Oryctolagus cuniculus: one gene and its partners. The protein of the gene in region 3 interacts with the protein of the main gene of each other region in a pairwise test. Links are inferred from orthologs where the notes say so. Each region holds a gene or a part of one and is shown on either strand. Other genes may lie near its edges. The genes, in order: RBM47, MAPK1IP1L, C7H1orf94, RAD51D, heterogeneous nuclear ribonucleoprotein F and GCC1.

Region 1 (4,277 bases), on a different chromosome or scaffold from region 3:
TTCAGAAGACAGCCGAAGCACTCAACCTTTTCTTGTAAGCTGGGACGTACAGCACTTCCAGAGGCAGGTTTTTGGCATGGTGATTATGACTCTTCACGGGGTATTGGAGTTTCTGGGTTTAGAGTCCTGGCTCTTCCTAATCCCTGGTCTCTGCTAGTGTGCACCTGGGGAAGCAGCGGGGTGATGGCTCAGATAGTTGGGTCCCTGCCATCCCATCTTTTCCCAGTTCCTGGCTTCTGCGAGCATATGGGGAGTGAACCCACAGGTAGAAGAGATCTTTCTCTCTGTATCTACCTTTAAAGTACATAAAAATCAGTCATCAAGTCAATGCTCCAGTAAAAACAGGGTAATTCTCATGTGGGAAATGCCATTTTTATTTACTTATTTATTCATTTGAATGGTAGAGTTACAGACAGAGATGAGGGGAGACAGAGAAAAGTCTTCCATCAATGGTTCACTACTCAAATGGCCACAACAGCCGGAGCTGAGCCAATCCAAAGCCAGGAGCCAGAAGTTTCTTCCGAGTCTCTGATGTGGGTACAAGGGCCCAAGCACTTGGGCCGTCTGCTTTTCCAGGCCATAGCAGAGAGCTGGATCAGAACAGGAGCAGCTGGGACTAGAACTGGTGCCCATATAGGATGCCAGCACCACAGGCTGAGGCTTAGCCCACTGCACCACAGCACTGGCCCGGGAAATGCTATTTTAACATCCACAAATATAAGAAAGATAATAGGTATTTGCCATAGACATTTTGGGGTCTGGTCTTCTACTTGATTCCCGAGTAGCTTGGATTCTCATCTGCTCTCTGTACTGATAGGACCCTGTGTAATAAATAGTAACTACTAAATTGATGGTTATTTTACATAGATTGATTATCTAGTTTTCCAGAAAGTTCTGGGAGGACGGTATTTGTTATAGACAAAATTTTTATTTTACTTTTTTAAAAATAATTATTTATTTACTTGAAAGAGTTACATGGGGAGAAAAGGAGAGGCAGAGAGAGAGAGAGAGTCTTCCATCCACTGGTTCACTCCTCAGATGGCTGCAATGGCTGGTGCTGCGCCAATCTGAAGCCAGGAGCTTCTTCCCAGTCTCCCACATGGGTGCAGGGGCCCAAGGACTTGGGCCATCCTCTACTGCTTTCCCAGGCCATAGCAGAGAGCTGGATCAGGCTCGAACCGGCGCCCATATGGGATGCTGGTACTGCAGGCAGCGGCTTTACCTGCTATGCCACAGCACCGGCCCCTATAGGCAAAATTTTTAAAATGTCCCAGCCTCATCTCTGAAAGCAGTATGATGAGGTTTCACTGTGGTGATGATAATATGTCCTACAGCTCAGCTGACCCTCAGAAAGTCTGATTATCTGGGTGGAGCTAATCTAATCACACAAGCCCTAAGAAAGAACAGAGTGCTTTCTCCCACTGAGAACAGAGATCGGGACATGGAAGTGTGAGGAGGACTGGCCTATCGTTGAAGGGACCTTAAGAAAAAAATGTTGGAGCCTTAGAGAGCTGAGAGAGGCCCCCTGCGGAGAGCCAGCAAGGAGCGGGGACCTCACTTCTACAACTTCAAGGACCTGGATTCTGCCCATAAGCAGAAGGAACTTAGGAGACGAGCCGCGGTTCTAGGTGCGCACGCAGCTGCCCGGCACCTCGTTTCCAGTCTGGGGAGACTGAGCAGAGAGCGCAGGTAGGCTGCGCGGGACCCGTGCGCTGCGTGCAGGTGGTGGGACACGGGTGGGTATTGTTCTCACGGGCTGCCTTGTTACCCAGCCCCGGAGAACAAATGCAGCATTAGTGCTCTCCTGCCCCAGAGGAGGGGACTGAAGGCTCAGAGGACTGAAGGCCATTGGGTAAAGCCCGTCTCACGAATGTGGTTAGGGCAAGGTTGGACGTAGGCAGGCAGACCCACCCACGGGGCTGTTAAGTATTGAGTTCACCAGCCAGGAGCTCGAGATGAACAAGGAATAAAGCTCTCTCTGGCTGAGAAAAGGATGACTCAGACACTTACTTATTTTTAGAAACCAACATGAAACTACTGGCTGAACAATGGCCTGGGTTTCTGCGGAGATCCTGTCGCGTGGGCGTGGCCGCCGTCGCTGGCTCCACGCCCCCTTTCACGGTGAGCACCAGGTGACCGGTTTCCAAACCGGTGAAGCTGAATGGATTTAGCCAGATTAACATTCTCACAGCAAGACGCAGTTAGGGGAAGAGGCATGTGCGGCCTTGTTAACCGCTGAAGCCCACGCGCAAACGCAGCTCTCCAGGGCCGGGCCGCGGAACTGTCGGCTTCCTGAAGGCGCCCCAGTTGGAGGAGGAGGAGCCTCCAAGAGCAGTTCCCTTTAGGAGGTGGCCCCGGCTGCCCTAGGCGACCTTCCTCCTCTCCTCTGCGTTCACGCCACTCCTCCAGCACTGCCGAGCCTGCCTGGGGGCCCCTTCCCCTCTGCTCCTCCTGGTATGGATGGAGCGTTCTAACTCCTGCGCTTCCCTCCCTCAGCGGTCTGTCCGCTGGAGTGTCTTCCCCCACCACAGGCCACTCTCCTTTCCCTGCTTTGTCCCGCCCTCACCCCCACCCCCCACCCCGTGACAACCTGGTATGCCTGACATTTAGAAATATATCTATTTATGCAGGGTGGGTATGTGGTGCAGAATTGTCATCACATGGAATGCCTGCATCCCATAGGGGAGTCCTGGCCCCACTTCCCGCACAGTTTCCTGGGGGCCGGTGTGCACCCTGGAGGCAGCAGGTGATGGCTCAAGTACTTGGGTCCCTGCCACCCCCCCATGTGGGAAATTTGCATTGAGTTCTGGGCTCTTGGCTTTGGCCTGGCCCAGCCCTGGCTAGTGAAAGCATTTATGGATTGAACCAGTGGATGCAAGATTAGAAGATCTCTCTGTCTCTCTAAATAAATAGCGTGTGTGTGCGCGTGCATGCACACGCACACACACACACACACACACTTGTTGTTGCCTCTCCTGAACTAGAATGTAATATCTAAGAGGGAGCTGGGATGCTTGGTTTATTCATTGCTGTATCCCTAGGGTACAGAAAAATTCATGGCACAGAGTAAGGACTCAGAGAGTCACCAAATGAATTCATGAATCCAGAACAAAAGCCTTGCATCTGTTTAAATAATTTGTCACTCCTGACAAATTGTCACCCCATTCCTAATCCGTCTCTTCCCCTCCCCCATAGCATGCGCTAATCAGTTCAGTAAGGAAAGTTACTTGCATCATTGTACAAAAACCAGAATAAAGATTACAATGAGACACTGTGTATAAGAATAAAGCCTGTCCTTGCCTCTCGGTGGTCATGCGACCTTGGAGAAGTCATTGATTTCACTTGGCTCCAGATGTCTTATCTTTCATTGGAGATAATGGAGTCCTGTTGGGAGGGGCTGGAGGATTTCTTCCTGCGCTAAGATTCTTTGAAGTTAGAACTCGGTTTGTAGAGAATCAGGAAATATTGGTTTTAGCCCTGTGTTAAATGTAAACTGAGTGTGTAATTTAGGGCAAGTCCTTCAACCCATTGTAGGCCTCCAGATAAAACAAAATTTCTTTGAGGTCCATTTGAGGTCAGCTCTCAGTCCCCAGCAGTGGCTGGGGAGGAGCCAGGTTGACCAGATATTCTGGTACTTTCCAGCCCTTAATCTCTCTCCCTACCAGGTCTGGATCAACCTGTTGTTTGCTGAGGAAAGACTCAAGACTACAAAGTTGTTGGTTCAGTAAATATTTTCTGAGCATACGCTGTATGCTGGGGATACTACAGTAAACAATGCAATTCCTGCCCTCTATATCCTAAAGATGGGAAACAGATGGAAAATGAATCAAAACCAATGCGATACTGTGATAGAGTAAGAAATATATGTTAGGTCTTTATGCCGTTCCTACCACAGCTTCTAGAACGCCCATGATTTTCTAAGTGACAAGGTGAAGGAAGTCTCGTTTTCCTGTAAACCTCACCTGAGTTTATGTTAATGAGGTGACTCTGGAGAGTCCCTAGGGAGGGAGGCTGGTTGCCAAGGGAACCGGTCATGTGATTACAGAGTTGGAACTTCCATCCCTACCACCCAGCCTCTGGGGACACGATAAGGGTCAGAGATTGAGTTGAGTTGGTGTCAGAACTCAGTTAAATTGTAGGAAACCCAGTTGGTGTCCACAGAGAATTGAAGAATTGCTTGGTGTGGAAAAATCCACTTGGTGTCAAAAGTGTTGGCATATAAGGAAAAAATTCTTCCCCTTTTAACTATTAACAAGGGCTGGAAAGGATCTGGAAGA
Region 2 (4,056 bases), on a different chromosome or scaffold from region 3:
GGCTGTCCCTCCCTTTGATGCACAGAGCCAGGACTAGGGTGAGAAGGGTGAGGTATTCCACTTGGGCACAAAAGGTTTTTTGACTAAAAGACTTCATAAGGAACATAATATTTTCAAGCAATGTATGAGTGTATAGAAAGTCTACAATCAACAAAATACCTAAATTTTAAATCAAGACAGGAATTTAATCACTGATGTTTCCCTCAAACCCCAAAATAGCTCCAGAAGGCACTGCTGACTGTGCCTCCTAAGAGGTCCTGGTAGGTTCTCCACACAAGTAATGCTATTTTCCACAGACCTGTGGTTTTGTGCAAAACTATGCCTCCCCTGGGCTTAAGTACTGAAGCTCCTCTATTGCTCCTTTATCAGTGTGAGAACTGTGTGGTGGAGCATATCCATGGATGTCTGTCTGTAAGAAGTGGGAATGTCACATGTCTTCCCACTGGCCCACTAACTGCTTTCACGTAAAGAAGCAAAAGTGTAAGTACTGCAAACTTTTAGTTTACATACATACATACACATACTATAAGTGTATACATAATATGTGTGTTTGTATAGATACCATGACATAGTGTGACATAGGTTCTTTAATGGCTGGGGCCACGTGTCAGTCATCTGGCCTAAGTATCTGAGTGTGAGAAGAGACATTGTTCAAGAAAAATCTGCAGGGGCTTGTGGTGTAGCTCAGCAAGTTAAGGCACTACCTGCGACGTCGCCATCCCATATGAGCGCTGGTTCCAGCCCCAGCTGTCCTGCCACCCAGCCAGCTCCCTACCAATGTCCCTGGGAAGGCAGCGGACTGCCACCAACGTGGGAGACCCGGGCGGAGTGAACCAGTGGGTGGAAGAGCTCTCTTTCCCTTTATCACTGTCTTTCAAATAAAAAATCTGCTAGGACAGCAAATATCAGTGTGTCAAGCCACTTGGAAACATCTTCCACTTCACGCATTCATCAGAGTTCTCCCCAAGGTTGGTCTTAAGTTCTGGGTCCCGGGTCAGGCTGCGGTTTGCTTCCCTCCAAGGTGAGTGCCAGGCCTGACTGAAACCCGCTGAACTGAGGGAATGGAGACTGCATTGTGGGAGCGATTCCCGCCGCGCTGCCTGGAAAATCCCAGGCGGCGGCGCCTGCTTTCCCGCGGTGCGCTCCCGCTCAGTGCCATCGGCGGCCTGCAGGGGGCGCGCCCCGCCGGACGCCGGACGCTGGACGCCGGGGGCGGGGGACGCGGGCGGGGGCGGCGCGCGCGCTTCCTCTTCCGGCGCCAGGAGGAGCCTCGCGCTCTGCTGGTGCCGCCGCCGTCGCTGCCGTCAGTCGGGCTGACCTCGGTTCCTCAGCGCTCAGGTCCCTCGGCTCCATCGTCGTTTCCAGACCCTGCTGGGGGCTCAGATCTTGCCAAGGTGAGGCTGCTTCGGAGCGGGAGGGCTCGTGGAGACGGGCGACGGGGAGCTGAGGTGGCGGGCCCAGGCAGCGGGAGGCGGGCGCGGTAGCGGGGCTGCCTGCCGTCTCCGTCGGCGCGCGGGCCGTGGCCTCCCGCCGGCGGCCGAGACGGAGCGCGCGCCTCGGCCACCTCCGCCTGCGCCGCGGGGTGTGCGACCCCCGGCGGAGACGGGGTCGGGGGACACGGACGCCGCGCCCGACGGGATTTTCTCCGTTTGACGTCAGGCTGGGCCGGGGGCGGGGCGGGAGCGGGCCCGCCCCTCCCCCACCGTCCCTGGCGGGCGAGACCCGCTCGGAGGCCGGTTCGCTCCGGTTGATCCCGCACTCCCTTTGTTCGTTCGGCCCCGAGGGTCTGTTAGCCTGCTCCTCCCCGGCCTGACCCCCACCCCCATGCATTCACGTTCGGTGAAGAAGGGAGCGCGAGGCCTGCGTCGGTCGTGAGGAGGACCCGCGCGGGGCCGGGGCCCGCGGCTTCCACTCTCGAGGCGCTGCGGTGCGGGACACTCGTGGAGGAGCGCGAGTTATGCGTGGGGGTTTCCACGGACTAAACCGATTTCCTCTGTACAGTGCACAGCGCTGGTGGTGCTTTTCCTAGACACAGAGTCCAGGCCGGGCACGATACCGTCGCCTCTCGTCCCCCGAGCCCTCATCGCAGGCGGAGGTGGCCGTCCCGAGTCGCTCGGGGGTTCTTTGTTCAGTCGCGTTCTGGTCGCAGGAGGAATAGAAATTTCTTGCCTTGGGTGTCTCTGAAACCCCGCCGTGTAAACCTGACTTGCCTCGGAGACTTGTGCGCTGAGCTGTGTGCGGGGGGGAATGTTCTTTCTCTTTCTCCAGAAGCAGTGGGTAACGCCCAGCCCGCCTTTTTGGAACAGATGTTTTGCAGAATTCAGAATCTTTGGATTTCATCGATTTCAGAAAGACCGTGTCATTACACGCACAGACATAACGGCGTGGGGAAAATTTGTGCGGCCGTGGGGGGGAATGCTCATCTGAATGAATAGAAACCATAAATAGCCTCCGGTCAGATGTGGCCGCCAAAAAAGTTTTGTGCCAAACCTGGGAGTTTCATTTTCAGAGGTTTGTGATTTGAAAAAGACGGACAGGCTTATGCACCTGTGGGGCTGGTTGTAAAAGCGCGCTTGTGTTGAGTGTTTGCTGTATACCAGGGAGTGACTACAGGATTTGTTTATCCCTCCGAGCAAAACGGTGAGGCTCCTGCTATGTCTGCCTTGGAGAGATTGGCCTGTCGAGAGTCCAGCCAGCCAGTGAGGAGCTGTGGTTCTGTCCAGAGAATCCACAACTCATTCAGGTGACTGATCAAGGTGAAACGACTCAAACACACTGGTCCAAGGCTGGCTCGATCCTGCCCACTGATTCTGTCGCCTCCCAGCTTCTCACACACTGCCCTCCTCTCCCTAAAACCAGTCCTCCACCCGCCTCTCCCAGCCGTTTTCCTCATTCTTCTGGACGGCAGAGACCACTTCTCAGGAATTGATTGTCACGCGACTCCACTGACTTTCACAAAGCCAACAGTGCCTGGTACAGTTGTGCCAATAAGTTTCTGAATCCAAGTGAAATATATTTCCAATGTTCAAACTTTCAAAACTCTAATTTTTGGAACTGCCCCAAAATTTAAAAAATGGCACATAATCTGATAAATGATCCTTTACTAAAAAGTATATATCCTTATTCAGAATGTATAGTATTTTTTAAAGATTTATTTATTTGAGAGGCAGAGTTACAGAGAGGGAGAGACAGAGATCTGTTGTATCTTTTAATAAACATCTTAGGTATAGCATCTTACAGATAATTGTTACTTTTAATTACCTGTAAGGTAGCTAAGTATTCTAACTTTTTTAAAAAGATTTATTTATTTATTATTTGAAAGGCAGAGTTTGAGAGAGGGAGGTCTTCCTTGTTTTAGTCCCCAAAAGGCTACAATGGCCAGAGCTGGGCCGATCCAAAGTCAAGAGCCAGGAGCTTCTTCCTGGTCTCCCTCACGGGTACAGGGGCCCAAGGACTTGGGCCATCTGCTTTCACAGGCCATAGCAGAGAGCTGGATCGGAAGTGGAGCAGCCAGGACTTGAACCGGTGCCCATATGGGATGCCGGCACTGTAGGCAATGGCTTTACCCACTACAGCCCAGCACCAGCCCCAGTGTTACAACTTTTAAAGGTGTGGAAATGATTTCTTGTCAACAACCTTGCCTTTTCAAAAGACTCAGTTAATATGATTGATGTCCATGTTTCATAATTGTATTCTAATACAGTTTTTCTTTCTATCATAATTTGATGACATTCTGAAGTACTGCTTGTCATTAGTCACTAGTAATTTATGGAGTTCAAGTTGCTTAAACTCCCTGATTGAAGTATCATTTTTACTCTAAGTGCCTTAGGATTACTAGTTATGTTTCACTTTTTTATGGTATGTCAGAAGAAATTTTTACTGTTTTGAAATTGCTCTTCTTGCTGTTCAGAAAATAATAAATTTTTCAGATGATGGGTAGATTTTGCAATAAAATGGTAATGGAAATTTTGGAAGTAGTAGGTTTATGAAAAAAATAAAACCATTTCTTGATTAAAATCCATTTTTTAAGTTCAGGATTACGTTGGGCTCATCGTA
Region 3 (3,500 bases):
CCATGCTTTATATTATTTCTATGTAATCAGATTATTCATATCTCTCCTTCTTCCTAGCCTTTGTCCAACTATTTCAGTCAAATTTCCCTTCCCAAAAGTGATGCCAAGACTGGGGAAACCAAAGATCCTTTTCTGATCCGATCAGCCTGCAGAATAGCTTTTAGAGAGGGAGAATTCTGGATTCACATCCTGAAACAACTCAACCTTATCCCATTCATCTAGACTGACTTTGAGTCACTCTGCCCTAAATTAGTGTCTTAAAATATTTTAAAAATTATTCCCCTATGGATAACAACGTGTGCAAGATTCTCAGTTTTACAAAGTATATGTCCCATGGAGGGGCTGCTTTCATGATGCGATAAGAATGAATTCCAATGGCGTAGCAGTTGTTTATAAAATGCTGGCTTTTTCTGAAGCTTTTGAAAGGATTTGGTTTTGTAAGTGAAACATAGCTCTAGAAATGACATCCATTTTATTCCCTTGCTAAACTTTCTCCTTCACTAATGAATGATGGAAACTCCAATCTAGACCTTCCGGGATTTCTCTCTCTTCCAAATGCGTAAGGCATGACCCAGGGGAGTCTTCCTAGAGTTGGAAACTCAGCAGGGCTTTGAAGAGCCCTCTCCAGGCTTCACAGGCCTGGCCCTGGGGCCGTCCTGGTGCTGCAGGCCTCTGCCTCCACCACTGACATGCTCTCCCCTTCCTGTGACTTACAGTGAACCCACCTGTCACGGCTGCCGACAAGAACAACATCAAGTACACAGGGAACGTTTTCAACCCACGCTTCGCCACAGCCTTGACCTCAGCCACCCTGAACCAGCCACTCTGGCTCAACCTGAACTACCCACCTCCACCAGTGTTCCCCAATCACTCTACCTTCTCACAGTACCAGGTGAGTGGGCAGGCCGTGACACTCGCTGTGGCCATCCACAGTGGCTCTGGCTATGCCAGGGGCGGGGGAGTGGGTGGGTAGGGCTTGCTGGGACCCTGTTTCACAAAGAGCCCTTGGACTTCCCTTAAAGGCCATCCCTCCAATCGTGAGACTCCATGGGGTCTACAGCAGGGCACTATCAACTTGTCAACTTATTAGTTATATTTGCTTTTTATGGCTGCATCAGACCTACCGCTTGGTAAACACACACGCACACGCACACACACACACACATACACACAGAGTTCTTTTCCACTGCCTGGAATCTGCTTCACTGTGCCATTTGTTCCAGAGGTGCTTTGCTGGTCGTGGCTGGGTAAGTGCTTGGGTCCCCAGGGTAAGATGGTGTCATAGTCCTGTCCATCAGCTTCTGTGACTTTCTTTAAAGTTAGGTAAGGGGCAGCCTGGATTATTTGGGACAGTCTGGGTCTTTGGCCAGAGAATAGTGATTAAAGCCATCCCCTTTCACTCTCACATGCTCTGGTTTGGATGACAAACTATTTGACCACATGCAAGCTGTCTGAACTTTGTACCAGCTGAGGTGGCTTGGCACACACTCTCGATCTTGGGCTCATAGCAAGAAGAGAATTAGTGGCCAGACACACAGAGGTGGTGAAACACTTGTAGCAGCATTGGAAATTCTACTCACAGAACTCATTTATGCAGGGAAAATGTAGTTTCTTTATTTTGTCCATTTAACTTAATATCCCTTAAGAGCTGCCGCCCACTTGGTAGAAGGAGGGAAAAATCAAATAAACGTCCACTCTGGTTTCAACCTTTGTCCAATCCAATAACTTAAGCAGTCCCTTTAGGTAGTGCTCCGTGTTTTTTTTTCAGGAAAGCTGCTCAGCATCTAAGATTTCTCAACCTTCTGTCCCATCCCCCTTCCCCAGCCTGGCTGCTTGCCCAATGCATCCAGGACCTTAGTTTGTATGTCCACGGTCCATGACCTTGGCCATCTGCAGCCCCAGTCTGGTCCGGCAAAGCCTGGAAAGGGCAAGGGGAGAAGGAAATACACCTGCAGCTGCCTGCCTTCCTCTGGGTCCCATCTGAACCCCTCCCCGAGCCCGGTGTCATTTCCTCTTCCTCTGTCACAGAGCAGATGAGCCTATGGCTTCCATGTGCTAGGCAGAAGGGGACCGTCTACTCCATCATGATGCTCGGAGCTGGTCTACCAGGCTTAGCCATGGAATATTCAAGAATTTAGCAAAGCCTCTCTCTCTCTCTCTCTCTCTCTCTCTCTCTATCTCTATCTCTATCTCTCTCCTTCTCTTCCCTCCCTTCCAAGCCTTTCATTTATTTGTTTGCTGAAGGAAACAAGTGCCCACTTTTGCCCTTGGGAAAAGCCTCAGGCCCACCATGGGAAGGAGAGGTTGTAGATAAAAGCAATCTCAGGGGAAACTAAGTATCCGTTTCATGTTGCTAATGCAGTCTGCCCACACAGGTCTGGGGACTAAATAGCACTCGGGTTCCGGTCCTTAGTGCAGCGACTCCTTCACTCTTGCCACTTCTCCCCTTGCATCCTGGGGCTTGTTCACTCCCTGGTCACTCACTCCCCTACTCCCTGACCTGCTCATTCCTCTTTCTTCATTTCCTCATTCATTTCACTGATTCTGAAAGCCTTCCTTCCGCAGTCCCTATGGGCCGGCTGTGGGGCTAGGGGAGAGGATGCAGAGAGGGCTATGAGGCTCAGAGTCTAACCCAAGTTCGGGGCTCCACCGCAGAGCAGCCGGGCCCCTCTGCTTCCACTAGACAGACAATCCCATAATTTTATTTAGTGTAAACGAATTCGCTCTAAAATGCACTCCCAGAGCTCACCACGTAAAGCTAATTTGCCACGGTTTGCTTTATTAAGTGGGGTAGTGTCTCTTTGTTATGTTAATTTCATTGCACTTGACTTTTTGAATGCCTGAGATTTCCTCTGTCTTCAGAGATGCTGGCGTTCATAGGGCAGGGCCAGTTCCCCTGAGGTTCCCCCATTTCCGGGCGAGGTGGTGGAAGGGCCTTTTGGGGCTGAGCAGGCCCAGCTGAAGTCATGAGAGAAGGAGGTGACCCTTCCAGGTGGGGACAAAAGGCAGCATCATTTACCTCCTCCCAGCTTCTCACGGTCTCGTCATGCTTATCTAGCTGCGAGACAGCTGCTCAGGGCCTGAAATAATAGCAAGAAGGCAGGTTTGGAAATCAGTAACCTTGAGATTCAAGGTTCTGCTGCATCTAAGCTCTGTGGCCTTGGACAAGCTGGTTGGCCACTCTGAGTCCGGGTTTCCCTGCTTGTGAAATGGGTTCATCATCATCATCATCACGGCAGTAACAGCAGCACCAGCACAGCACGGATATGGGTGCACGGAGTCCTGGAGTCCGCGGCTGGCGAAGGGCGCTGCAAATCTCACGTGTGATGCAGATGTTGGCTTTTATTATTATGCAGCCCTGGTCGTCCAAGGGAATGGGGTCAGGAGCTCTGCAGGCCCTGAGAGGACAGAGAGGGGAAACGGGGACTGGCTTATCCTGGTCTCTCCCCTGCTTGGCACTGGGAGTAGACATGAGGTCCCAGATCCAATTTACCCAGAGC
Region 4 (3,931 bases), on a different chromosome or scaffold from region 3:
CAGGCAGGCAGGCAGGAGCACATCACGATGAAGGCTGGGAACCTGAGGAGTCATCTTTGATTCCTCCCACCTGGCGGTACAGCTTCTCCTATTTCTCATTCAACACATCTCCCACCACCACCCGCCCTGGATCCGACTCACACAGCACCCCCACCCCCGCCTAGCAGTCCCTCCCTGGCCTCTCTCCGCCGCCCGTGCACTCTGCACACCTCTACTCCACTGCCTGTGCCTCTGCTCCCAGCTGCAGGCAGGCAAGGCGGAGGGGCGCTCTCAGAGGCGGGGCGTGTGCCAGGGCTGCTGCTCACTAGCCGCCCCCTCCTCAGCAAGTCGTTTCTTCACCTCCCAAGTGACGACCTTAGCGATAACACGCTCACGGGTGGCTGTGAAGTAACGAAACGACACACTGAGCACAGTGCCCGGCTCCCAGCAAGCTTCGGTGAGAGCCCATCTGTTGCTCCGTGCCCAAGGCCTGCCTCCTCTGGAGCCCTCCTGAACCACTCTGGCTGGCCTACCCTGCAGGGCCGGAGCCAGCTGCAGTCCTGCAGGGCAGCACTTGATTGCTCTCTGCATGTGTGGCGGTTTTATCAGCTCCCTAAGCCCGAGGCCAGTCCACTTCCTGTTAATCACTCCCTCCTGGATGCTGCCACCTCTATGCACTCACTCCTCCTATGTTCGCCGGCTTTTCTCCTATACCCAGTGGACACCAGTCTCCTCAAGGCCTCCCGGGCATATATACCATCTGTATGCACCTGCACCCAGGAGGCAGGCACTCAGCCAGTGCCTGATGGATCACAAACCGGGACCCCAGCAGCAGCGGCAGGCACCATGCTGTATGAATCTTGCCAAGAGAATGTTATGGAAACAGCAAAGGCTAAACCAACCCAAAGACATCAAACTCTGCACAAATAGGCCAGGAAGGAGGCCGCACTCATTTGGCCAGAAAATGCCTGTTGTCTTCCAACTCTTTCCCTCCCCAGCCGATCAGGGCAGGAGGCAGCTGCTCCTTTCTGTTAAGTCCTCTTGTTCTCTACTACTGCAGAGAGTGGAGAAAGGAACCAAGTTCTGGTTCAAATACACCTGGGCTTTGAGCCTCACCTCTGCTACTCCTCTGGGGCCAAACTCAAGTGGAGTTCATGCCTCTATCTGTGGGGTCCCTGATGAGATCACTTATAACCCTATGGTCAATAGATGCGAGTGTAGGCACTCAGCAAATGCTAGCCCTTGGGGCTGGCGCTGTGGTGTAGAAGATAAAGCTGCTGCCTGCAGTGCTGGCATCCCATATGGGCGCCAGTTCAAGCCCCGGCTGCTCCTCTTCCAATCCAGCTCCCTGCTATGACCTGGGAAAGCAGTAGAAGGTGGCCCAAGTCCTTGGGCCCCTGCACCTGCATGGGAGACTCGGAAGAAGCTCCAGGCTTCTGGCTTTGGATCGGCCCAGCTCTGGCCACTGGGGCATTCTGGGGAGTGAACCAGCGTATGGAACACTTCTCTCTATCTCTCCCTCTGTCTCTCTGTAACTTTCTGCCTTTCAAATAAATTAAAAAAAAATTTTTTTTTAAAGTGCTGTCCTTAAGTGAAATGGGAGGCAGGACCACAGAAGAGATAGTCCAATGTGCTGAGTAACAAGGAGACACTGACATCTTGTAGATCTCAGCAAGGGGTGATGTCGGGGTGGGGTGGGGTCCACCATCATAGCTCAGGACGGTCCCCATCTCCCACACAGCCACAGTGCTTCCAAGGACCTGCTCTCTCCAGCCTCCCTCATCAAGGGCTGAGCTGAGAGGCAGCTTCAGTCACATACGAACCTCCTGATGCCCGTGGACAGGATGGCGGTGGAGCTCTTGAGTTCCTCGTAGAGATCAGAGCCATTGATGGGGAAAGCCGAGAATTGAGCCAGCAACACCCGCCGCAGGGCGACCAGGGCCTGCCAAGGTGGGGGGGGGGGGGTGTCAGCTCAGGCTCCAGAGCAGCTCAGACTGGCTGGCCACTGAGAGGGACAACCGGGAACTCAACCATCCCTGGGCCTCACCAGCTCCCCTCGTCCATCTCGGGCTAGCCTCTGCTCCCTTGCCCTGGGCAGGGGCGAGGAAGCCCACCCAGGCTCGCAGCGCGGAGCTCCTCCTGAGCTCACCTTGTAAGACAAGCCAGACTTCTGGGCCACCTCCTCCAGGTCTGCGGAGGCCAGGTCCACCACTGAAAACAAAACACCTGTAGCTGACGGGCAGCGAGGGGGCCAGGGGCTTCCCAAGGGCCGGTGCGACACCGCTCCCCAGAGTTTGGCGTCCCCGCCCCCCGCCCCATGCCCGAGGCTGCGCGGAAAGGCGCGTGTGGCGGGCGAGGGGTGGCCCCGCGGCTTCCCGGCACGAACGCACGCCCGCCGGCCCGCCGTCACCTGTCCTGATCCCGCGGCTCCGCAGAAGCTGGACCATCTCCGGGCTGAGGCCTGGGCACAGGCCGACCCTGAGCACGCCCATGCTCCCCGCCAGCGCGGGACAGAGCGTCCCTGCAGAGCCCCCTTCAGACGCCCCTCGCACGCCTCGGTGCAGCGGGTCCTGACGCACTGCTGGCGGGAGGAAGGGGCTAGGAGCCGCGCCGAGCGGCGGGTAGCAGGAGGGGGCTGACCACCCGCCCCTCCGGCGCCCAGGGCCCGCCCGCCTCCGGCCGCTTCCGGGTTCCAGGCTCGCGCGCGCGGCGTGGGCCAGGCCCGCAGCGCCACCTGCTGGCCACACAGGGCGAGCCGCCGCAGCCTCGCGCCCGCGGGTCCTACGGGCCCCGCGATCCGCGATCCGTGAGCCGCCGCCTGGCGCCGCGCCAGCCCGATCCGGTTCCTGCGCGCCCACCCCGCGCCCACGGCCGCCCTAGGACAAAAATGTTAAACTCCTGGACAATCCTCTACCCTCTGGGAGCTGATGAGTCGGGGAGAGACAGGCAATGAAAAGGACTCAAAGCAATCTGACCGGTACGGATCCTAGGATAAGCACGCAGGGGGCACCTACTTCTCTGTCTCGAAACCTTGGAGCATATGGAACACGCGCACACGCACGTGCGATTCGGTGAAGCGTGAAAATGACTTTACCGAGCGCTCTGACAAACCTAGAGGGAGGCGCTATTCGTATCCCTGTTCCGAGCGGCCTCCCCTGGGAGCTGTGAGCACCCGGGAGCCATCACCCGACCCAGTGGGGTTTGCCGCCTACAGTTTGAGGACAGAGAGCAGCAGCCTCCGCAGCCAGCGTCGCCCGCACTCAGAGACTCTGCCCGGAACCGCCAGCCTCCCCAGCCCCAGGCACCTCCCTCCCCGCCCAGGCGCCTTTTTCATCCTCTATCTCCTTGCAGGGCAGCGCAGAGAGGCACAGGTGTCGAGTGTTCCGAGGTCTTCAGAGGCAGGCGTCTGGGGACACTATGGGGATGATGGCTCCGATGACGGGGTCCCTGCCGCTCATGGGAGAAACCCAGATGGAGTTCTGAGCTCCTGGCCTCGGCCTGGCCCAGCCCTGGCTGTTGTGGGCATTGGTAGAGCCTGAGGGATGCTGTGGTTTGTGCCTGGTTCCACCCTACCTGTGGCTCTGGCCCTTTGGCCCAGCCAGCACCCCAGGGAGCCTCAAACCCAGGGCCAGGCTGGCCCCTGATTGTTACAGCTGATGATGATTGTGAAGTCAGCCCATTGCACCCCCTCCGGTGTGTCTGCTGGCCCCGCAGTTTCTCTCTGCTTCCTGCCAGCTCGGTGGTCCTGCATGGTGACGGCTGTGGTCCCAAACCAACCAGATGGCATCAAACGCACTCTGTAAAGTGGGAGATGGGGAGGAGGCCGTGCTGAAGAAGGAAAACCTCAACCTCGTGAGTGCACTCGACCAGCTGCCGAAGCCCTTTCTGAACCCCAAGTCCATGAACCGCACCGTCACTACCAAAGGACTCCCACTTTCCTCAAGAGGCAGCT
Region 5 (4,274 bases), on a different chromosome or scaffold from region 3:
AAGTGAGTCTTAGAGCCGCTGGAAAACTGAGTAACAGAAGATGGCTTACTGATAACAAAGTGACTAGGAGAAACTTACAAGCTTTTGACCATTTAAATTATTGTGCCCCATATACATATGAATAAAACATAGCATAATTATATGGATACTATATGATAAATATATACTTATAAATAATTTGTGTAAGAAATCTTCAAGCTTACAATGTTTCGAAGTTTACCTTAGTTTGTAAATGAATGCTACTTTGCCAGCTCCTTGTGATCCAGGATAAATAGTGAATGTTTATGGTTCAGTTGTGATGTCTAGGGTGATCTATTATGAAAATGTATACATAGGTTTAAATGAGTGAATAATATATTTCAACTAGGAGGATACAAAAATAGCAATATATGCAGCTTGCTTTATTTTACCAAACAAGTCCATATCATAGTTTTAGTAGAAAATTTCATTAACATCTTTTTATTAAACTTTCTGTATTTGTTTAGTTTGATGAAGTCATTAATAGTGTCCAGATGAAAAGGTTGCAAATTCTTGAAATCTCTTGTATTTCTTGCTTTAAAAAGGACCTTAATTTTTGTCTATAAATACATCTGTTTTCATAAAGGTACCTGATGATTATAGTACGCCATTTGACAACTGATGACCTTATTTGATTGACCTGCTTGTCAAAATAATTTATTCTACTTGCTGAGCTAAGCCTTTCTTTGCATTTCACTCATAATCACTATCACTTACTTTAACATTTAGAGTAGGCCTTCCATTGTACTTTCATCTTTTTATCATTTTACTACTATAAAAATAATTCAATACTTTTTAACTCTTGTGACTTAGTTATTTGGTGAATAACCTTAGAAAAATTTCTGAACTTTTATGAGATCATTTTTATCACACGTGATACAGACACTAGTTAATTCTGTAGACCAGAAATGAGTATGAAAGGTCCTGTTTCAGACTTGACTTGTTGAGATAGGACCAAATGAATGGCTTTTGTAAGGTGAAATGGATACCTACGTAATCAGGAGGTAACTATATATATATATATAAAGAACATAACCAGCTTATTAAATACCATTTTAATTTAATGCCCTCTGAGTTAGGCACAGTGGTAGGTGTGGGGAGCAACTGGGAGCAACTCGGACTAGACTAAGTTACTGGAATTAAGACTTATTCTATGCATCTGCTCTCCCACAATATGGCGCTGAGAAGGGAAACAGCTTCTACACAGCTGCCTCCAGTTCAACCAATAAACTGTAGGACCTGCTCCTGATTGGAGGAGAGCAGCGTACTCGGCGTGTGGGTAGCAGAGTTGGGATTGGTGGAAGAGGACTATAAAGGAGGAGAGAGACAACATGCACCAGGAACATCTATCTGAAGGAACACCTGAGCAGCCCCCGAGAGAGCCGGCCGGCCGGCGGTGTGCCGCTCCCCCGCTGAAGTGGGGAAAGTGGCAGGGGGAACCGCCCTTCCACGGAGGTGGAAGGGTCGGTAGCCAACCCGGGAAGAACCAGCAGCAAACCCGGGGAGGGCCGAGCAGACGAAAGAACAGCGCAGGGTCCTGTGTCGTTCCTCCACGAAGACGGGGAGCGACAGTAGGCAATTCACACACATCACGTTGTTCAAATGAAGCAGGGGGATATTTGCAGATCAAATAAATGCAGAGTTCTACCTGCTGCAATAAAAATTATAGTTAACCTTTATTGAATATTTTACAATGTGCCAAGTACTGTTTTGGTGTATCTCCTTTAATTCAGTCCTCATTATAGCATTATGATTATGATTCCTATCTTACAGAGGAGGAAACTGTGGCCCATTAAATTTAAATAACTTGCTCAAGACAACAAGAGAAAAATAACACTTTTGGAACTTAGTACTATAAAAGTTAGAATAGCTTTAACTATAAATAGCTTTCAGAAATGTGTAGATGAGCCGGCACCGCGGCTCACTAGGCTAATCCTCCGCCTGGCGGCGCTGGCACACCAGGTTCTAGTCCCGGGCGGGGCGCCGGATTCTGTCCCGGTTGCCCCTCTTCCAGGCCAGCTCTCTGCTGTGGCCAGGGAGTGCAGTGGAGGATGGCCCAAGTGCTTGGGCCCTGCACCCCATGGGAGACCAGGAAAAGCACTGGCTCCTGGCTCCTGCCATCGGATCAGCGTGGTGCGCTGGCCGCAGCGCGCCAGCCGCGGCGGCCATTGGAGGGTGAACCAACGGCAAAGGAAGACCTTTCTCTCTGTCTCTCTCTCTCACTATCCACTCTGCCTGTCAAAAAAAAAAAAAAAATGTGTAGATGAGTTCATAGGCTTATAACAGGTTAATAAATGAAGTTGAGTGTGTCAACATCTTTCATTTTTAAAAATGATTTATTCCGTCGTGGAAGCAGGATTGCGCCGCGTCTTCCTGAAGAAGGTTAAGAACAAAAAGATGCACCTGGAGTTTGCCTGGAGCCCTCTGCGCGTCTAAGCTCGGGTGGGATCTGGGGTCCTTCGCTGGAAGCCGCTCTTGCAAATAGAAACCAGGCCAGCTCTCCTCAGTGGACAGTTGGTTACCTACCAGAGGTGTCTCCTACTGAAGGTATCCTTGGCGATACTCTAAGCCATAAAAAGACAACTTGCACCCAAGTTTGTCTGACATCTATCCTGTCAAGTGTCCATGATGCTGGGTCCCGAGGGAGGTGAAGGCTTTGTGGTCAAGCTCCGTGGCCTGCCCTGGTCCTGCTCTATTGAGGACGTGCAGAACTTCCTGTCCGACTGCACGATTCATGATGGGGCCGCAGGCGTTCATTTTATCTACACTAGAGAAGGCAGGCAGAGTGGTGAGGCATTTGTCGAACTTGAATCAGAAGATGATGTCAAAATGGCCCTGAAAAAAGACAGGGAAAGCATGGGGCACTGGTACATTGAGGTGTTCAAGTCTCACAGAACCGAGATGGATTGGGTGTTGAAGCACAGTGGTCCAAACAGCGCTGACACCGCTAATGATGGTTTCGTGCGGCTTCGAGGACTCCCGTTTGGATGCACAAAGGAAGAAATTGTTCAGTTTTTCTCAGGGTTGGAAATCGTGCCAAACGGGATCACTTTGCCTGTGGACCCCGAGGGCAAGATTACAGGGGAGGCCTTCGTGCAGTTTGCCTCTCAGGAGCTAGCAGAGAAGGCGCTAGGGAAGCACAAGGAGAGAATAGGGCACAGATATATTGAGGTATTTAAGAGCAGTCAGGAAGAAGTGAGGTCATACTCAGATCCTCCTCTGAAGTTCATGTCTGTTCAGCGACCCGGGCCCTATGACAGGCCTGGCACAGCCCGGAGGTATATTGGCATTGTGAAGCAGGCAGGCTTGGAGAGAATGCGGCCTGGTGCCTGCAGCGCTGGCTACGGGGGCTATGAGGAGTACAGTGGCCTCAGCGATGGCTACGGCTTCACCACTGATCTGTTCGGAAGAGACCTCAGCTACTGCCTCTCAGGAATGTACGACCACAGATACGGAGACAGCGAGTTCGCAGTGCAGAGCACCACCGGCCACTGCGTCCACATGAGAGGGCTGCCATACAAAGCGACCGAGAACGACATCTACAACTTCTTCTCTCCACTTAACGCGGTGAGAGTGCATATTGAGATCGGCCCAGATGGAAGAGTGACGGGCGAAGCTGATGTGGAGTTTGCCACCCATGAAGAAGCTGGGGCAGCGATGTCGAAAGATAGGGCCAATATGCAGCACAGATACATAGAACTCTTCTTGAATTCCACCACAGGGGCCAGCAACGGGGCCTACAGCAGCCAGGTGATGCAGGGCATGGGGGTGTCTGCGGCTCAGGCCACCTACAGTGGCCTGGAGAGCCAGTCAGTGAGCGGTTGTTATGGCGCTGGCTATAGTGGTCAGAACAGCATGGGTGGATATGATTAGTTTTGTAGAAGCATTTGAGTTAATTTCAATCAAATTTTCAGAGGCAGCCAGCAAGCAGTGAAAAAGCAGTTATTACCCTAGAGGAAGCTGTGGGACCCATTTTGCACCATGAGTTTGTGAAATCTGGATTAAAAAATTACCTCTTCAATGTTTTCTCATGCAAACTTTTCTTCTAGCATGTGATATTGAGTAAACTAAAACTATTTTCCGCTTTTCTCGATTAACATTTTAGTAGTATCCTTCCGAGTGATGTTATCTGAGTTAAAGTAGTTTAAGTATGTTAAATTGTGGATCTTTTACACCACACCACAGTGAACACCTTGGGGAGATGTACTTTTTTGGAAAACTCAAAGGTGCTAGATCCCTAATTCAAAGAGAAACAT
Region 6 (4,074 bases), on a different chromosome or scaffold from region 3:
TGCTAATGTATCTGCACAGGAGAATAAATAGCAAAATCCTGCTTCCTGCCTTCCTTCCTTCGAAAGGCAAAGTGACCTAGAGGGAGAGACAGAGAAGGGAAAGATTTTTCCATCTGCTGCTTCACTCCCCAAATGCCTGCAACAGCCAGGAACCAGTCAGACCAAAGCCAGGAGCCAGGAACTCTTACCCAGGTCTCAGGGACCCAGCGACCTGGGCTACCTTCTGCTGCCTCCCAGAAGGGCATTAGCAGGAAACTGGGTGGTAAGCGAAGAAGCGGGGACTCAACCTGCACTCACATAGTGGATGCGGGTATCCCAAGCGTCCGCTTAAGCTTCTGTGCCCCAATGCCCGCCCCTAAATAACAATTTTCTTGTGAGGTTCCCGGCGTATAGTTCGCATTCAGGATGAACCTCATGGCGGCAAGGTGTCCTCTATCAATATTCGTTGACTAAACTCAACGGAACTATGGTAAGGTGCCATGTGCATTCCATAAGCCAGCTAGGTGCCAAGTGCCGTGTTAGGAAGGGCTGCAGTGTTCATAGCCCTAATGGGAACATTTATTGTTGGCCTTTAGGGACACAGGTCCTGAGCCCCAAGTCCTTGTGGCTGGACGCATGGGTCACTGGAGTGTTTGTTAAGAATGCAGTGCAACGTCGCCCCCTGTCGGTCGCGGATCGCAGCCCAAGGGCAAACCAACTGCGCTCGCTGGTCCTCAACTTCCTTTCCTTCGCTCTCCGCAAGCCCCGGCCCCCGAGGTTCCCGGCAGCACTTCTCCGCAGCCCCAGTTAAAGGAGCCCCGCCCACCTCGCGGCCGGTAGGGGCGGAGCCTAGGGCGACGCGCTGGCGTCACTTCCTGCGGACCCGGAAGCTCTGTGGTCGGCCGGTTGCGGTAGTTAAGAAGTCGAGATGGAGCCACCCGCGGCGTAAACCTGTAGCCAACTGTGGGCCGAGGGGGCCGGCCGGGGCCGGGCCGATGAGGCCCGGAGGAGCGGAGAGGGCGGAGCAGCTTCGAGGCTAGCGCGGGCGCTCCCAGGCCGGGAGCTCCTGTCGCGCCAGCGTCGCCCCGCCTCCAGGAGCGGACCCGCTCCCGCCCCCCTGGCCTCTGTCCGGCGGCCCCGCCACCCCGCATCCGGGCTTGGACACCTCTGTGGAGCAGCTGTGCGGCCGCGGCGGGACAACCTTTTCCTCGTCGCCTGCTGGCTCCGCCCGCGTAGTCGCGTCGCTCTCCTGGACTGCTGGAACGCTGACGTGGAGCAGCTCGGTCACAGCCCCCATGGAGAAGTTTGGGATGAATTTTGGGGGCGGCCCGAGCAAGAAGGACCTGCTGGAAACCATCGAGTCTCAGAAGAAGCAGCTCCTCCAGTACCAGGCCAGGCTCAAGGACGTGGTCCGCGCCTACAAAAGCTTGCTGAAGGAGAAGGAGGCGCTGGAGGCCAGCATCAAGGTGCTGTCGGTATCCCACGAGGCGGATGTGGGCCTCGCAGGTGTCCAGCCTCCAGGCCTCACCTTCTCTGACTCTGTGGATGACCGGTGCTCCACTCACAGCGAGGATAGCACCGGCACCGCCACCAGCCTGGACACTGCGGCCAGTCTGAGCAGCATCAAGGGTGAGTTTGGGGTAGAAGATGACAGACCGGCCCGCGGACCACCGCCTGCGAAGTCGGAAGAGGCCAGTGGGTCGGAGAGCGGCGTTAGCAGCAGCAGTGGGGATGGGCCGTTTGCAGGTGGGGAGGTGGACAAGAGGTTGCACCAGCTGAAGACTCAGCTGGCTACTTTGACCAGCTCTTTGGCTACAGTCACCCAGGAGAAGTCCCGCATGGAGGCTTCTTACCTGGCCGACAAGAAGAAGATGAAACAGGACCTAGAGGATGCCAATAAGAAGGCGGAAGAGGAGAGGGGCCGCCTGGAGGGAGAATTGAAGGGGCTGCAGGAGCAGATAGCCGAAACCAAAGCCCGGCTGATCACGCAGCAGCATGATAGGGCCCAGGAGCAGAGTGACCATGCCCTGATGCTCCGGGAGCTCCAGAAGCTGCTGCAGGAGGAGAGGACCCAGCGTCAGGACCTGGAGCTTCGGCTGGAAGAGACGCGGGAAGCCCTGGCCGGGCGGGCCTATGCAGCCGAGCAGATGGAAGGCTTCGAACTGCAGACCAAGCAGCTGAGCCGGCAGGTGGAGGAGCTGAAAGGTGAACTGCAGGCCATCCGAGAGGAGAAGAATCGACCGGACCCCCGGCTCCAAGAGCTTCAGGAAGAGGCCGCTCGCCTCAAGAGCCATTTCCAGGCTCAGCTGCAGCAGGAAATGAGAAAGGTAATTATCCTCATCTCCTTCACATATCCGTCATTTCGCTTGAAGTGCGAGATAAGAGGGGTTTTGTTTTTCCCTCCTCCTTTGGTACTTAGAACTAAGTGGCTGCACTGTCATTTTTGCTGCTACTTGAAAAGTTGCACCAGGGAGCCCTGGAAAAGCCTTTCCTGCGGTGGTGTTGACCAGCTCCTGGGAGTGTGCTTGCAACAGGATGTGGAGTTTCCGAGCCTAGGCTGGGTCGGAGCCAGGCCCCTCTGAGCTGCTGGGCGTTGGCACTGTACCAGCTGCTCTCCGAGCTGCCATCGAGCGGCCGCTGTGCAGTGAAAGAGCGAGTGTGTGCCTGTAGCTGTGTACCCATGGGCAGGGTAGCTGAAGGCAGCTAGAGGGATTTTCCCAGAAGAAATAAACCATGGTAATTGCTTTCTGTCAAGGTTTGTCTGTCATGACAGTGTCTGCTGTCCAGGTGGAGGGAGATCCAACTCAGTTTTGTACTTCCAGGAATAGAGAAAGAGAAAAGCAAAGTCCTGTAATTTCATGATAGGGTTCGGGGTGAGGTGACATATGATAGACAGCAAAGCTGGGTGTGAGCTGATAGGAGAAAGTGGAAGCGCTAAAGCAGAGTGACAGCAGGTGTGCAGAGGTGCTTCATATCGTTTGAGATGATATGTATTTGGGGGCAGAACCCAAGCAGGTAGAGGAACTTCTGTTGGATCCTGCATCAACGGAAAAATCCCCAAACGCTCCCCTCGGTCGCCCTCCTCCCCGGACACACGCACACAAAGTTTGCCATGGGGCTTTGTGACTTTTCTGACCGTATTCTGGTCTTGTCTTTGGCAGACAGCCCTTGCGGAAGATCAGCTCCGCCAGCAGTCTCAGGTGGAAGAGCAGAGGGTGGCGTCCCTGGAGAATCAGATATCTGAGGTGTCTGAGCTGCTGGGCACGTACGAGAAGGCAAAGCAGAAGGACCAGCTGGCCATCCAGAAGCTGAAGGAGCGCGTTCTGCAGCTGGACCTGGAGAACAAGACCCTGGCCCTGGCAGCCTCCAGCCGGTCCCCTCTAGACAGCCATGGGGAGGAGTCCAGCCTGGACGTCAACGTCCTCAGGGATAAGATGGAGAAGCTGAAGAGACTGCTGCAGGTGGCCGCCAGGAAGAGCCAGGTGACCCTGGATGTGGAGAAGCTCTGTGACCTGGACACGGTGGGCAGCTCAGACGCCACTGATGGGGAGAAGGCTTCTGCGCTCTACTACCAGCAGGAGCTGAAGCAGCTGAAGGAAGAATTCGAACGGTATAAGATGAGGGCCCAGGTTGTCCTCAAGAGCAAGAATGCCAAAGATGGCAACGTGGCGAAGGAGCTGGAGGCCGCCCAGGAGCAGCTTGCCGAGCTGAAGGAGAAGTACATCTCCCTGCGGCTGTCGTGTGAGGAGCTGGAGCGGCAGCACCAGGGGGAGGCAGAGGCCTGGAAGCAGGAGCTGGCCCGGCTGCAGCAGCTGCACCGGCACGAGCTGGAGCGCAGCCGGCTGGACTTCAGGGACCGCACGCTGAAACTGGAGGAGGAGCTGCACAAGCAGCGGGACCGGGCCCTGGCCGTGCTCGCCGAGAAGGACCTGGAGCTGGAGCAGCTGCGCGCCGTGGCCTTGTCTTCTGGGCTGCCAGGGCGCAGAAGCCCGGTGGGGGCCGGGGCTCCAGGGGACCCGGCCGACCCGTCTGCCCCAGATAGCCTGACCCAAGCACTGCAGCTTGCTGCGGGCAACGAGCCCACGTTCTTCCTGT

Evidence for each region.
Region 1: the proteins of C7H1orf94 (region 3) and RBM47 interact in binary tests that used the Homo sapiens proteins (3 or more experiments, as listed by UniProt). The two-hybrid records come from large-scale screens. The link is inferred for Oryctolagus cuniculus from reciprocal best matches to the Homo sapiens genes C1orf94 and RBM47.
Region 2: the proteins of C7H1orf94 (region 3) and MAPK1IP1L interact in binary tests that used the Homo sapiens proteins (3 or more experiments, as listed by UniProt). The two-hybrid records come from large-scale screens. The link is inferred for Oryctolagus cuniculus from reciprocal best matches to the Homo sapiens genes C1orf94 and MAPK1IP1L.
Region 4: the proteins of C7H1orf94 (region 3) and RAD51D interact in binary tests that used the Homo sapiens proteins (3 or more experiments, as listed by UniProt). The two-hybrid records come from large-scale screens. The link is inferred for Oryctolagus cuniculus from reciprocal best matches to the Homo sapiens genes C1orf94 and RAD51D.
Region 5: the proteins of C7H1orf94 (region 3) and heterogeneous nuclear ribonucleoprotein F interact in binary tests that used the Homo sapiens proteins (3 or more experiments, as listed by UniProt). The two-hybrid records come from large-scale screens. The link is inferred for Oryctolagus cuniculus from reciprocal best matches to the Homo sapiens genes C1orf94 and HNRNPF.
Region 6: the proteins of C7H1orf94 (region 3) and GCC1 interact in binary tests that used the Homo sapiens proteins (3 or more experiments, as listed by UniProt). The two-hybrid records come from large-scale screens. The link is inferred for Oryctolagus cuniculus from reciprocal best matches to the Homo sapiens genes C1orf94 and GCC1.

The regions. Positions count from the first base shown.
Region 1 is NC_091433.1:34,409,173-34,413,449, reverse strand, and holds the start of RBM47 (RNA-binding protein 47), read left to right. Parts: upstream 1-1,477; 5' UTR 1,478-1,689; intron 1,690-4,277. UniProt on the Homo sapiens protein: Single-stranded RNA-binding protein that functions in a variety of RNA processes, including alternative splicing, RNA stabilization, and RNA editing. Functions as an enzyme-substrate adapter for the cytidine deaminase APOBEC1.
Region 2 is NC_091443.1:21,429,867-21,433,922, reverse strand, and holds the start of MAPK1IP1L (MAPK-interacting and spindle-stabilizing protein-like), read left to right. Parts: upstream 1-1,256; 5' UTR 1,257-1,394; intron 1,395-4,056.
Region 3 is NC_091438.1:138,422,954-138,426,453, reverse strand, and holds part of C7H1orf94 (uncharacterized protein C1orf94 homolog), read left to right. Parts: intron 1-716; coding exon 717-892; intron 893-3,500.
Region 4 is NC_091448.1:39,164,661-39,168,591, reverse strand, and holds the start of RAD51D (DNA repair protein RAD51 homolog 4), read right to left. Parts: upstream 2,801-3,931; 5' UTR 2,472-2,800; coding exon 2,390-2,471; intron 2,191-2,389; coding exon 2,129-2,190; intron 1,922-2,128; coding exon 1,803-1,921; intron 1-1,802. Other genes in the region: FNDC8 (fibronectin type III domain-containing protein 8), read left to right, coding at 3,760-3,931. UniProt on the Homo sapiens protein: Involved in the homologous recombination repair (HRR) pathway of double-stranded DNA breaks arising during DNA replication or induced by DNA-damaging agents. Bind to single-stranded DNA (ssDNA) and has DNA-dependent ATPase activity.
Region 5 is NC_091446.1:59,592,951-59,597,224, reverse strand, and holds the start of heterogeneous nuclear ribonucleoprotein F, read left to right. Parts: upstream 1-1,474; 5' UTR 1,475-2,643; coding exon 2,644-3,891; 3' UTR 3,892-4,274.
Region 6 is NC_091434.1:164,051,311-164,055,384, reverse strand, and holds the start of GCC1 (GRIP and coiled-coil domain-containing protein 1), read left to right. Parts: upstream 1-1,274; coding exon 1,275-2,306; intron 2,307-3,140; coding exon 3,141-4,074. UniProt on the Homo sapiens protein: Probably involved in maintaining Golgi structure.